3 linked regions of the Danio rerio genome follow. Each later gene encodes a partner of the first gene's protein in a complex. Links are inferred from orthologs where the notes say so. Each region holds a gene or a part of one and is shown in the gene's direction. Other genes may lie near its edges.

Region 1 (3,658 bases):
ATACATGTTCATTATGTCAATATGTGGTTTCAGCATTGGCATCGACTCATCAGCAATAGTCATATCGCAGAATCTGCAATGTTGATTTGGGATTATATAGTTTAGGATTATAAATATTAAGATTTAGGATTATATAAAATACATGAGATTTGTTGAGTTTATGTACTTTAACCTTAATGGAGTAAAAGTTTTATCATTTGCACGTTTTTTTTTTAATAAAGTATTTCCAAATAGAGCTATTCAAATCATCTGGTGAAATTAGATATAGAAATTACAATATATTGCAGAAATACAAGATATTTCTCAAATATATAGAATATTATCAACAGATTTTTCCAATATCATTCAGCCCTTATTGATATATTGAATATCGTTGAAAGTCCAGGTGAAATCAAAATTTAAAATCTTTTTTTTTTTTGCTGCTGTAAATTGTTAGACTTGGGGGGAAAAATCAGTGTGTTTGTTTTGGTCATCTTCTTTTAAAAATCTGACCTTTTTTCCACTCTGGAGGGGTGTTACGTTCTTTTAGATGTTATATTAAACTAGGAGTAGATGACATAACATACAATAGTTTAATGTGTGTGACAAGCGGATGGAGAAAAAAATAAACTGAAAACCAAATCTCACTGCAATTATTTATTGCCCATACATCCAATGAAACCAGTGAAAATATATAATACAATGAAAGAAAAATATTTACAATGATTAAATGATGAATTACCTGGGGGGAGAGGAAGTACTTGAATGCGCTTAAATCAAAGAAATAAATATAACAAAACTCAGTAACTGTTTTCACCAAACTAAACTAAATATAAAAAGAAAAGCATGAAAAAAAAAACATCTTCAACATACCAAACGTCTTAACTAAACTGCTCTAACTAAGAACAAAACATGCAGAAAACAGCACATTCTCCTGAACCTAATGAACTAATACAAAATATGCATCTGAATGTTGTATTTGTATATCGCACGACTTACTCACACCTACACCTCTCCGAGGTATCACTCAAACATGTCAGTTAACAGGACAAGTTCACAAGCAAACACATTAAATTAATCTCAAACTTTAGACAAGAGCATTAAACACAATCAAAACACATTCTCTCAGACTAGCCCTCGCAAGAGAGACTGTCCTCAGAGAGACCCACAGAAAGAATAAGAGCGAGAAGTGGCGAGAAGGAAAGAGACAGAGAGATCGCCATTGCAGTTTGGGCTCGGCTTTTAAACGCTACGCCAACCAGTGATTGGTGGCGCAAACCCAGCGTCAGCAGGCAACATCATCAGCACGAAATGCGGATCCTCCAATGCCATTCGTACCTGCGACACATGCATGAAACGACAAACCCACATACAAACAAACGCACACACTTATCCAAATTACGTTCTGCAAGCGAATGTTACAAGTGGCTATCTATCACTGATGTCAGTTTGACAGCTTGTGTGAAATGTTTAGTCACGCCCCTCTAACCGTTAGTTTGCTGTCAGTCATAGATGTATACACTAGATATCGCATAGGGACCCTGAGCATGCGTCAATAGAGCCTCTACATTGGTACAGTGCTCCCAGAACAAATGTCATTCAACCGCACTAGTCAAGACAGTGTTATTATGTGAAGATGCTGGACTTTAGCGCTGTCTATGGGTGTAGTAACGACCAAACAAAGAAAACAAAGCACAAAGGCAGAACATTTCATAGGTAATATTGAGTTTTTTTTCTGTTTTTGTATGTTCTGAACTTTTGTGCTAATCAGGTAACATTATGGATGATAGTCACTTACTGCATTCACCATAAGGCAAAGCAGCTCCAACTCGCACTAAACACTCGGCTTATGCTATTTTTGTTGAATAACAAACAATGCAAAAGAAATATGACAACGAGATGCTGCGCTGCCAGAAACTGGTATTGATGTCGGCTAGTGAAAGAGTCGTTCGGTGGATTCATTCACAAACGAATCGCTCCCTCCGTCAGTATGAGGAGTGAAAGCAGGAGAGGAGGTGTGTTTCAGGACATGATTTGATTAAATTTAACAGGGAGGGTGAATAGTACATTTCTGTACACACAAACACAAGCTTTTTGTCAGGAATGCCCATGCAGTCACTGATCCATCAATGTAGAAAAATAATGTAAAATTATAATTTTCGCAATTAGAAAAAAAAAAAATTACATATTCACATCCAGGAAAACTCCCGATCATAGATATATGTGTATATGTGTATATCTCTGGCTTTGGATGGCCACAGAACCTCCACTGTACCTTGGTCCCGCATTCATTTCAAAGGAGCGCTACCCTGTACCAAGATGGCAATGCAAGAAGTTTGCTCCAGTCTTCGATGTAATAAAATCTATTGGAAACCATATGCTGAATTTCTTTGTTGAGTTGTAATTCAATGTGCTCTGCAGTGCCACGGGTTTCACCACACGATCTGATATCGGTCCTGCTCGTGATGCCAATGACCCAGTTGATGATCGCCACGCACCTCCGGGGAAGAGGACGGTGGGTGATCAAATGAAGAAAAGCCAGGATGATGATGACGAGGATCTCAACGACACCAATTATGATGAGGTACATTTCGCAGGCGTCATATTGAGTTGATGTGCCAAAATGCAGCAGAATATTATTAATCTATGCCTCTATATCCTGTATCCTCTAGTTTAACGGCTATGCGGGCAGTCTGTTCTCCAGCGGGCCGTATGAGAAAGATGACGAGGAGGCCGACGCTATTTATGCTGCACTGGATAAAAGAATGGATGAGAGACGGAAAGAAAGAAGGTGAGCTTGACCTTTCTTCTGTCGTCTACACTTGCTGTTTATGTAGAGCGTTTGGGTTGATTTGACTAATGTGTCTGCAGGGAGCTGCGAGAGAAAGAGGAGATTGAGAAGTATCGTATGGAGCGGCCTAAAATTCAGCAACAGTTCTCAGACCTGAAGGTTTGTGTGGCTTTTATAAATATCAAAAAAAAAGTTGAAGAATCCTAAGATTCTTCAGAATAGTCCAAGTTTAGCGTGAAGACAAATAAAAAAGGATCAGACTATGCAACAGGTTTCCATCAGTTAAATGTTATGATTTATTTCAAAACTTGAACGAATGATCTGTCTAACTTTTACAGCATTTATCAATTAACATAGTGTAAATATTAAGGGTGTAACGATATTACAAACCGAACCAAAATATTGCGATACAGCAACCACGATACAGAGTACCGCGGTACTGTCATGCTCCTGCTTCCCATTGTTGAGGTTGACGTAACTTGTCTCTAACTAATTGAACCAATTTAAACACGTCTTTATTTATATCACGTCTTTATATTTGATTAAATTGTATTAGTAATGATGAGCTTTTGTTCTAAATATTATATTCTAAAGTTAGTATTTTCCAAGTACGTCATGTTATGTGACTTGACTGAGCGATCACTAGGCCCACACGGAATCTGCGCGCGCAGAATTCCGCAGATGTTTCGCAGATTTTCAGCAGAATTCCGCAGATTTCTGCTGATTTTTAGCCCATTATTAATTCTGTTTATTTACTTGAGTAAATGTGTAAATCAGAATTTATTCAGTTTTTATTCAGTAATTTATTACTTTTTATTTAATATATTATGGTTTTAGTTATGATACTCCGCTGGATACTCCCAAAATAATTCCGCAGAAATCCGCAGA
Region 2 (3,758 bases), on another chromosome or scaffold:
AAATAAATTAACCAACTAGCTAGCTAACTAACTAACCTAACTATATACACCCTCTCTGGGGAAGAAAATATTGTCCATCACTATCCACCACTGTACATGACATTTCAAACATGACCTCTTTTGAATAGATGGTAATGAAATGCAAAAACCTACTGGGCAAGTCTTCGGTTAAATGATTGATGTGGGATATTTGCATTTTTTTTTATTTATATAATTGAGGGTCAATAGTTTTGCAAAGCTAAATTACTGTACAAATCAAAGAGAAATTAGATGTGTTGTGCTTTCAAATACAAATCTAAAAGACTGTAAATGATTGCAAGTTTCCGTTCTCGTTGAATGAAATGATAAAATGATCCACTGCTGCTGTTTTGGGAGTTGTTAAAAATGGTACAAAATAAATATATAAAATAATTTATACATATTAATTTTTTTAAAGGGATAGTGATGAAATGAAATTATGTTCTCATTTACTTACCCTTCACTTGTTTATTTCTTCTGCTGAACACCAAAGAAGATGTTTGGAAACTGGTAACCATTTCTATAATATGATGAAAAACAAATACAATAGAAGCCAATAGTTACCGGTGTCCAACATTTTCGAAACAACAATACCAGTTTTAACATACTTCCAAATATCTTATTTTTGTTTTCAAATGAAAAAAAAGAATCTCATTAAGGTTAGAAACCCCTCAAGGGTGACTATATAGACAATTTTGAGGAATCTAAACAAAAGACAATGGTCCTTACGTATTTCCTGTTTTACATTTTAAATTTCTATAGCTTCCGAGAATCTAAAAAGAGCCACATATTGATAAATAATGTTATAAGAACTGTTTTAACATTAAGTTATGGTTGAATTGCCTCTTGATACAGCTGTGAAACAGTTTTATAACAAGCAGGAAATGTTTATGGGCCAACGACATCATCAAACGGAAATAGTTTATAGTAAGTACATTTTTATTTTTGGATAAACTATTTCTTTAATTTCAGACCTCCACTCCAGCTCAACTGAGGATTCACGGCTCTATTCCCCGCCTGTCCAGCGAGTGGCGCAGCGGGCAGATCCGCTCTTCTCTCCTGCCGTGCGGTCAAAGTGCGCTCGTAGTCCTTCCCTCTTTCGGCGGCAAGGCGTGCGAGTGTGCTGCATTAGCTTATACTATTCAAATAAACAATTTTTGTGTCTGAAAATACTACTTAAGTAATCCAGTCATGGTAAGTTCATCGTTATCTCTTTTATTTGTATCCAAACCTTCAGTTTGGCGAAAGAGCGTAGACGTTTTCATTCATAAATACGCTGATAATGCGGCTAGGTGTTAGCATCAGGAACGCAGACTGGACGTTGTTTTCAGTCATTTTCAGTGTTGTGTTAGAAATGTTGAGCTTTGCTGATAAATGTTCCTCCTTGTTCTCTTACAACCTAGTCGGTGACTCCCAAAATGCGATTAAATGATATATGTGTGGGAAAACTAAAGATAAAAACTAACGTTAAAGGAGTTTTTTCTGCTATTACTGATGCTTATTTGCAGCTAATTCTGGTGGAAACCAAAAACAATTAATGCTGTAAATTATTATATTGTTTTATTGAAGTTATACAATATATATATATATATATATATATATATATATATATTGTGTGTATGCATGCGTGTTTTGATTTTTTATACCACAAACTACAGTAATGAGAATTTGTCATTACAATTTAAAATGAAGTCATATCAATTGTATCTGTTTTTGTTTTGTTTTTATTATTTGTTTATTTTGCTTGTGTAAATTCATGCGGCTAGTGTCAAAACTTTTTACTAAAAGTTATAACAAGCTGATGAAGAAAAAAAACTAAAACCCAAAATGTAAATCTTTTTTTTTTTCTATTTGGTCAAATATGACTGAGCATCACCGGAGGCTATGCTAAAGTTTCTTCTAAGCTTTTCACTCACTTGAGAATAAAATCATCAACATTTGTAGTATTTTACTTCTTCAGGAACAATATTATGTTGACATGGAATTGTTTGAAAATGACACTTAGGGATTGATTTCGAATGATGTTAATTGTGTAACACTGATCTTTTCCCTCAGAGTTTGCCGCTGAACCCAAAGCCCTTTCTGAATGGTCTGACAGGAAAGCCTGTGATGGTGAAGCTGAAGTGGGGCATGGAGTACAAGGGCTACCTGGTGTCAGTGGATGGGTACATGAACATGCAGGTATGTTTAAAAGAGTTAACGATTCTATGAAAATCCAGCTCCTTAGTAGGAAGAAAATTTAAACTATTCTTTTTAACTCGAGACATACCGTTGTATATGCCATTATGGAGATGCTAGACACACACAGACATCTGCTTAAAGCAGAAGGTGGCCAAAAATGTAAATATTGTAATGGCAACCTAGCTGTCAAGCATATACACTTCATATGAAAACCTCAATATTTAGCAATTCTGAGTGTGCCTTACACAAGTGAGTGGGCTTTATAAACACTCCTTGACACACTTGCACTAGTTTTGTCTATTTGTACCAGACCCTCTCTTTCAACCACTTCATAGCTCTATAAAACATTGTGCATTTCTGAGATTGGTTCACACAGGTGAGTGGGCTTGACAAACCACCTGTAGAAATGCTAATCTCTCTAAATGCAAGTTTTTCTAGATCTCTTACAAGGACTTAATAAAAAAAAAAAAACAATGTTTACCTGTGACTGTACCACAAATTGTTTAACTGGTCATTTCCTTCAACCTTAAATGATCTCTTTTGCACAATATTGTTCTGTCTTATATAAAAGTACTTGTATAGTCTGTCTAAGGTTATGCGTAAAGTTTTTTTTTTTTTTTACTATTTATAGACCGTTTCAATGTGGTGATGCCATTGGCCCATGAATATTTCCTGCTTGTTGTCAATTCATATCTGTAACAAGAGGCGATTCATTCATAACTTATATAACAGCTATTATAACAGCTATTGTAACTATCAATATGTGGGACTTTTTGGACTCTCAGAAGCTACTGAAAATACAGTAGGACCATTGTTATTGTTTACATCCCTCAAAAAGGTCTTTAGTACATGTATAGTTAATTACTGCTCTGCTATGTAGTTATGTATAGGTTTAAAATCGCTCTTATGTCTATAAGGGTTGTTTATATTTATGATAGTTTATTTATGTTGCACTGTGGTCCTGCAAGACATTTCACTGTGTGTCCACAGATGTAGCGGAATGACAATAAAACTCAACTCGAGTTGATACTTTTGCAATGCCCTGTTTAAAATGTTTTAGATAACCATTTTTATCTGGAGAGTTCTTAAAGCAGGGATGTCAAACTTTGTTCCTGGAGGGCCGCAGTCTTGCATAGTTTAGTTGCAACCCTGCTTCCCCACACTACAGTTTGAGCATGTGAAATTCTGCCGTTTGGTGCTGCAAAAAGGGGCGGGATTAAACAAGCTGATTACGATTTGACCATATTTAAAATTTCTGTACAGAGAGGTCGTGTTTTGATCTTCTATTGGTCAGAGTTCACCAAGCTTTAAGTTTCCAACACATCGAACTGCGAAACTTGTGGCACGAGCTTGCGTTTCCTGTCTAAGGCATTTACTTGCTAATAAATGGAAGTCTATAGGGGTGCAGTGTGCCTGCCGCTTTACCTGTAGGTTTCAAACGACTGTAGGACTCAATTAGTTTGATCAGGTGTGGTTAATTAGGGTTGGAATTAAACTGTCCAGAGCTTTTGGTCCTCCAGGAATTGAGTTTGACACCTGTGCCTTAAAGCAACTATTTA
Region 3 (3,758 bases), about 30 Mb from region 1:
AATATGATTTCACTATTTAGAATTTGCAGTGAATACTTCTCTGAAATTATATTATTAAGGAGAAAGTGTGAATGTGCGAATATAAAAATTAACTTTACCTCAATAGGCTTTGAGGGGTTCGAAAGACCTACCCCTCACTAACAAAGGTCCAACATTTGTTCCATATATGAGCTTGTTTGTCTCATTATAATTGCTATGCTTCATAAATTGTAAAAATAACTAAGCAAAAAGGGTCTTAAAACCAATTGTAATCCTCTGTTGGCTGTTGCTGCGGTGTGACTTCAGCTTATCAGTTTTGAACCTTTGATTATTAATAATAATATGTATTCAAATGGGCAAATTCTAACTGAGGACAGTTGAATGAGCTGGCCAAGTTGTTGTTTGCCCAATAAATGTCGCTATAATAGGCTACAGTTTTTAATTTAAACATTAATAGATTCCTTTTTTTTAATTAATATTGGCTGTAACATTTGTTTTTTAAAAATATGTATTTATTTATTTTTCTTTATTCCAAAATTTTAGGAAATATTTTGATTCATCAAAATTGTGGTTATGATGACTATTCGACAGGTTAATTCAGCTAAAGATAGTGCTTAAAATATCACTAAAATGCAGTATATCTAATAATTAAATAGAAAATGAGGCAAATACCTGCAAAAAGGTAAACTTACTTAGAAAAAAGAACCACCCCTTTTACCAGGCTGGCTATGGGCCTGTATAATATTCATTCATTTTCTTTTTGGCTTAGTCCCTTTATTCATCAGGGGTCGCCACAGCAGAATGAACCACCAACTTATACAACATATGCTTTACACAGCAGATGCCCTTCCAGCTGCAACCCAGTACTGGGAAACACTCATACACTATAGACAATTTAGTTTATTCAGTTCACCTATAGCACATGTCTTCGGACTGTGAGGGAAACCGGAGGACACCCACTCGAACACGGGGAGAACTTGCAAATTCCTCAGAGAAATGTCAACTGACCCAGCCGAGAGTCCGAGACTCGAACCAGCGACCTTGTCGATATGTTGTTGTTGTTGTAGTTCATCATCCGCCGGAGTAGAGGGCAATATTACTCAATGGTGCTAGTACAAGGGAAAAATCCCGCGACCCAAAACGTCACTTCCTGCATTTCACTCATTCTCCGAACAACGCTTGAAACGTGATTCAAACGTATTTGTTTGACAAAACTAGCATATCTCACTAAATAAACATGAGCAAAGCACATCCACCCGAGCTGAAAAAGTAAGTATTTCAAGTATTTTCTTGAGTTTTTTAGAAATTTGATATTAAGAAGTATTTAACATGGGCAACTTATTAACGTTAGCCGGTGTGTGTTCAGTTTAACGGCTAAATTACTTTATTTTCACATCAAGCATAACTTATATTGCTAATCCATTTTGATATATTTTATATGAGTTAGCTTTCAGTTTGGTGGTGTATCTATTGTGAATTAAGAAAGTGCCTTTTCCCCTCTTAGGTTTATGGACAAGAAGCTTTCACGTGAGTAATCTTTTAATAACGTTAGATGTTTCTCTTTCCAGTTAAAATATGAATTATAGCTCAATATTAGGGCTGCACGATATTGAAAAAACTATACATTGCGATATTTTCTTTTTTGTAATTAAGTAATTAAATATTTGAAAAGTGGTTTTGTAGGGGAGTGAAATTTAAATATACATTTTAATGTAGTTTCTTATACAAACTAGTCACACACACAATTGGGTAACGTAATTATTAAAGTGAAATAAACCGTCCTTAATGGGTTTCTTGAGAGTCTAACAGTACTCAGTTGGGTTTCCACAGTGTCTTAAATGTCAAAATCCAAAATTTGGCCATTAAAAAGTATTAATTTGACTGAAATATTGTATTGTGTAGGTCTTGATTCTTTTTTTTTTTTTTTAAAGTCATGTGTTGCTACCCAGTCTGGCCATTAACACCCATACAATCACCAACAATCCTCTCAACAAAACCTTAAACTTTTTATTTAAAAAGGTAATTTTTAATCTATTTACCATAATGGTTTAATTATTTTCCATACAATAACATGTGTTTAAAAGTTCTCCATGTATTTACTACTGAGGACACTGAACAGGAGAGATTGTTGTGCATAGATTTAGTTTATTGTAGTTTTTAAAAGTTTTAAAATATTTGTTCTTTTTTTTATTTTAAAGAAAGTTTATGTTGAGGAAAAAAGTGTATAGATACAATTAGAGCTTGCTTGTTTTTACACAATATTTTGCTAAGAAATAAAATCGGAAATATATATATTTTTTTATTATTATTGTATTATTAAATGTATTAAAATATAATAATGTTTTTGATAGGGCAAATAAAAATCTTTTCCATCAGGGCTATTTGAAAAATTCCTTAGCTTTTAGCACTTTATGGGTCTAAAATGTAATTAATAAAGGTTTTATAAACAATTAAATTTAACTGTATAACCTGCAGAAACCCTGATTCAGGTACTGAAATCGAATAATCAAATGTAAAATAGCACTGTGTAGTCTTCACCATACACAAATTTTAATAAAATTAATCTTTATTAAACATTTTCATGCACTACTAATGTTTTAAACTCTCTTCAAATGCTCAGCCACATGCCTTAAAGTGATGATAAACTTTCACTCTATTGTGCTTAAATTCTGCAGTGTCTCCACAAATCTTGTGTGTTTTGACTAGTGGTTTCTGGTGGTCATCTATAATCCTAACTATCGCCTATCTTGCGATGTAACTAATGCAGATGCACACATTTCAATATCATTGCTCAAGAAGTGATATATTGTGCAGCTCTAATATATATTAATATTATTTCAATAAAAACGTTCAATGATGTATTTTACAGGGTCCCCGCGGGTCCTTAAAAAGTCTTAAAATGTCTTAAATAAAATTTTCGATTTTTAAGGTCTGAAAATGTCTTGAATTCTGTAATTTTCCATAAGGAGGTCTTAAATTTCATGTGGGATCTTAAATATCATGTCCGACTCGTCTTATGTCGGCAAATCAATGCCAATATAAATCGAGCGCAGCGGTGATGTTTGCGCGCGAGGAGAAGTGAACCGTGAGCAGATTACAGACACGCGAGAAAACTACAGCTGCAAGCGCACAGGGGATCTTCACGCGCGCGCTCAACTGATCCAGCGCGAGAAAACAAGTCCCGCGCGCGCACATCATCATCTTATGGCAAGCCCAAGAGCTCATAAAAACACTATTAATCAATCGCGTTTACAATTAAAACGCCGCATTAAACGGCGCTAATACCATTTCAAACGCCGCTAAAAACGCCGTTCTGATTGCAAACGCCGCAAATAACGCGCGTAAACCTGTAAAAAACGCCGTTTTTAACGCCGTTTTAGTGTTAGTGAAAAGCGCGGTTTATGACGCGATCCGCTTGCCACAAAACGCCGTTTAAAACGCCGTTTTAACCCCACTGAAACGCGCGTTATAAACGGCGCTTTCCTGAAGTATAATGAGCCACGCCCGCTGATTTCCACAGCCAGTAAGCTTGAGCTGCTCTCACCCAATCAACAATGAACAGAACCAGACAAGACTAATTCACCACTGATCGTAGCGGAAGAAGGGACTCTGAACTGATAGCAAATGCTTATTTACAAAGTACCTTTTACAATAGATCGATTCCACGTCTTTGTGCTTGTAAATGTTCATTTTAGATAGATGGCATCAGAAGAAATGTATTTTTGTAAGTGCCTTGGCAAAAGTGAGCGGGCATGTTATTGTAACCCTTATTTCTGGCT

Evidence for each region.
Region 2: prpf6 (region 1) and snrpf share a complex: the UniProt entries of both Homo sapiens proteins name them as parts of the U4/U6-U5 tri-snRNP complex. The link is inferred for Danio rerio from reciprocal best matches to the Homo sapiens genes PRPF6 and SNRPF.
Region 3: prpf6 (region 1) and snrpg share a complex: the UniProt entries of both Homo sapiens proteins name them as parts of the U4/U6-U5 tri-snRNP complex. The link is inferred for Danio rerio from reciprocal best matches to the Homo sapiens genes PRPF6 and SNRPG.

The regions. Positions count from the first base shown.
Region 1 is NC_133198.1:7,083,173-7,086,830, reverse strand, and holds part of prpf6 (pre-mRNA-processing factor 6), read left to right. Parts: intron 1-2,400; coding exon 2,401-2,563; intron 2,564-2,651; coding exon 2,652-2,770; intron 2,771-2,850; coding exon 2,851-2,929; intron 2,930-3,658. UniProt on the Homo sapiens protein: Involved in pre-mRNA splicing as component of the U4/U6-U5 tri-snRNP complex, one of the building blocks of the spliceosome.
Region 2 is NC_133182.1:19,364,308-19,368,065, forward strand, and holds the start of snrpf (small nuclear ribonucleoprotein F), read left to right. Parts: upstream 1-1,022; 5' UTR 1,023-1,209; coding exon 1,210-1,212; intron 1,213-2,073; coding exon 2,074-2,199; intron 2,200-3,758. UniProt on the Homo sapiens protein: Plays a role in pre-mRNA splicing as a core component of the spliceosomal U1, U2, U4 and U5 small nuclear ribonucleoproteins (snRNPs), the building blocks of the spliceosome.
Region 3 is NC_133198.1:36,915,168-36,918,925, forward strand, and holds the start of snrpg (small nuclear ribonucleoprotein G), read left to right. Parts: upstream 1-1,099; 5' UTR 1,100-1,216; coding exon 1,217-1,248; intron 1,249-1,483; coding exon 1,484-1,506; intron 1,507-3,758. UniProt on the Homo sapiens protein: Plays a role in pre-mRNA splicing as a core component of the spliceosomal U1, U2, U4 and U5 small nuclear ribonucleoproteins (snRNPs), the building blocks of the spliceosome.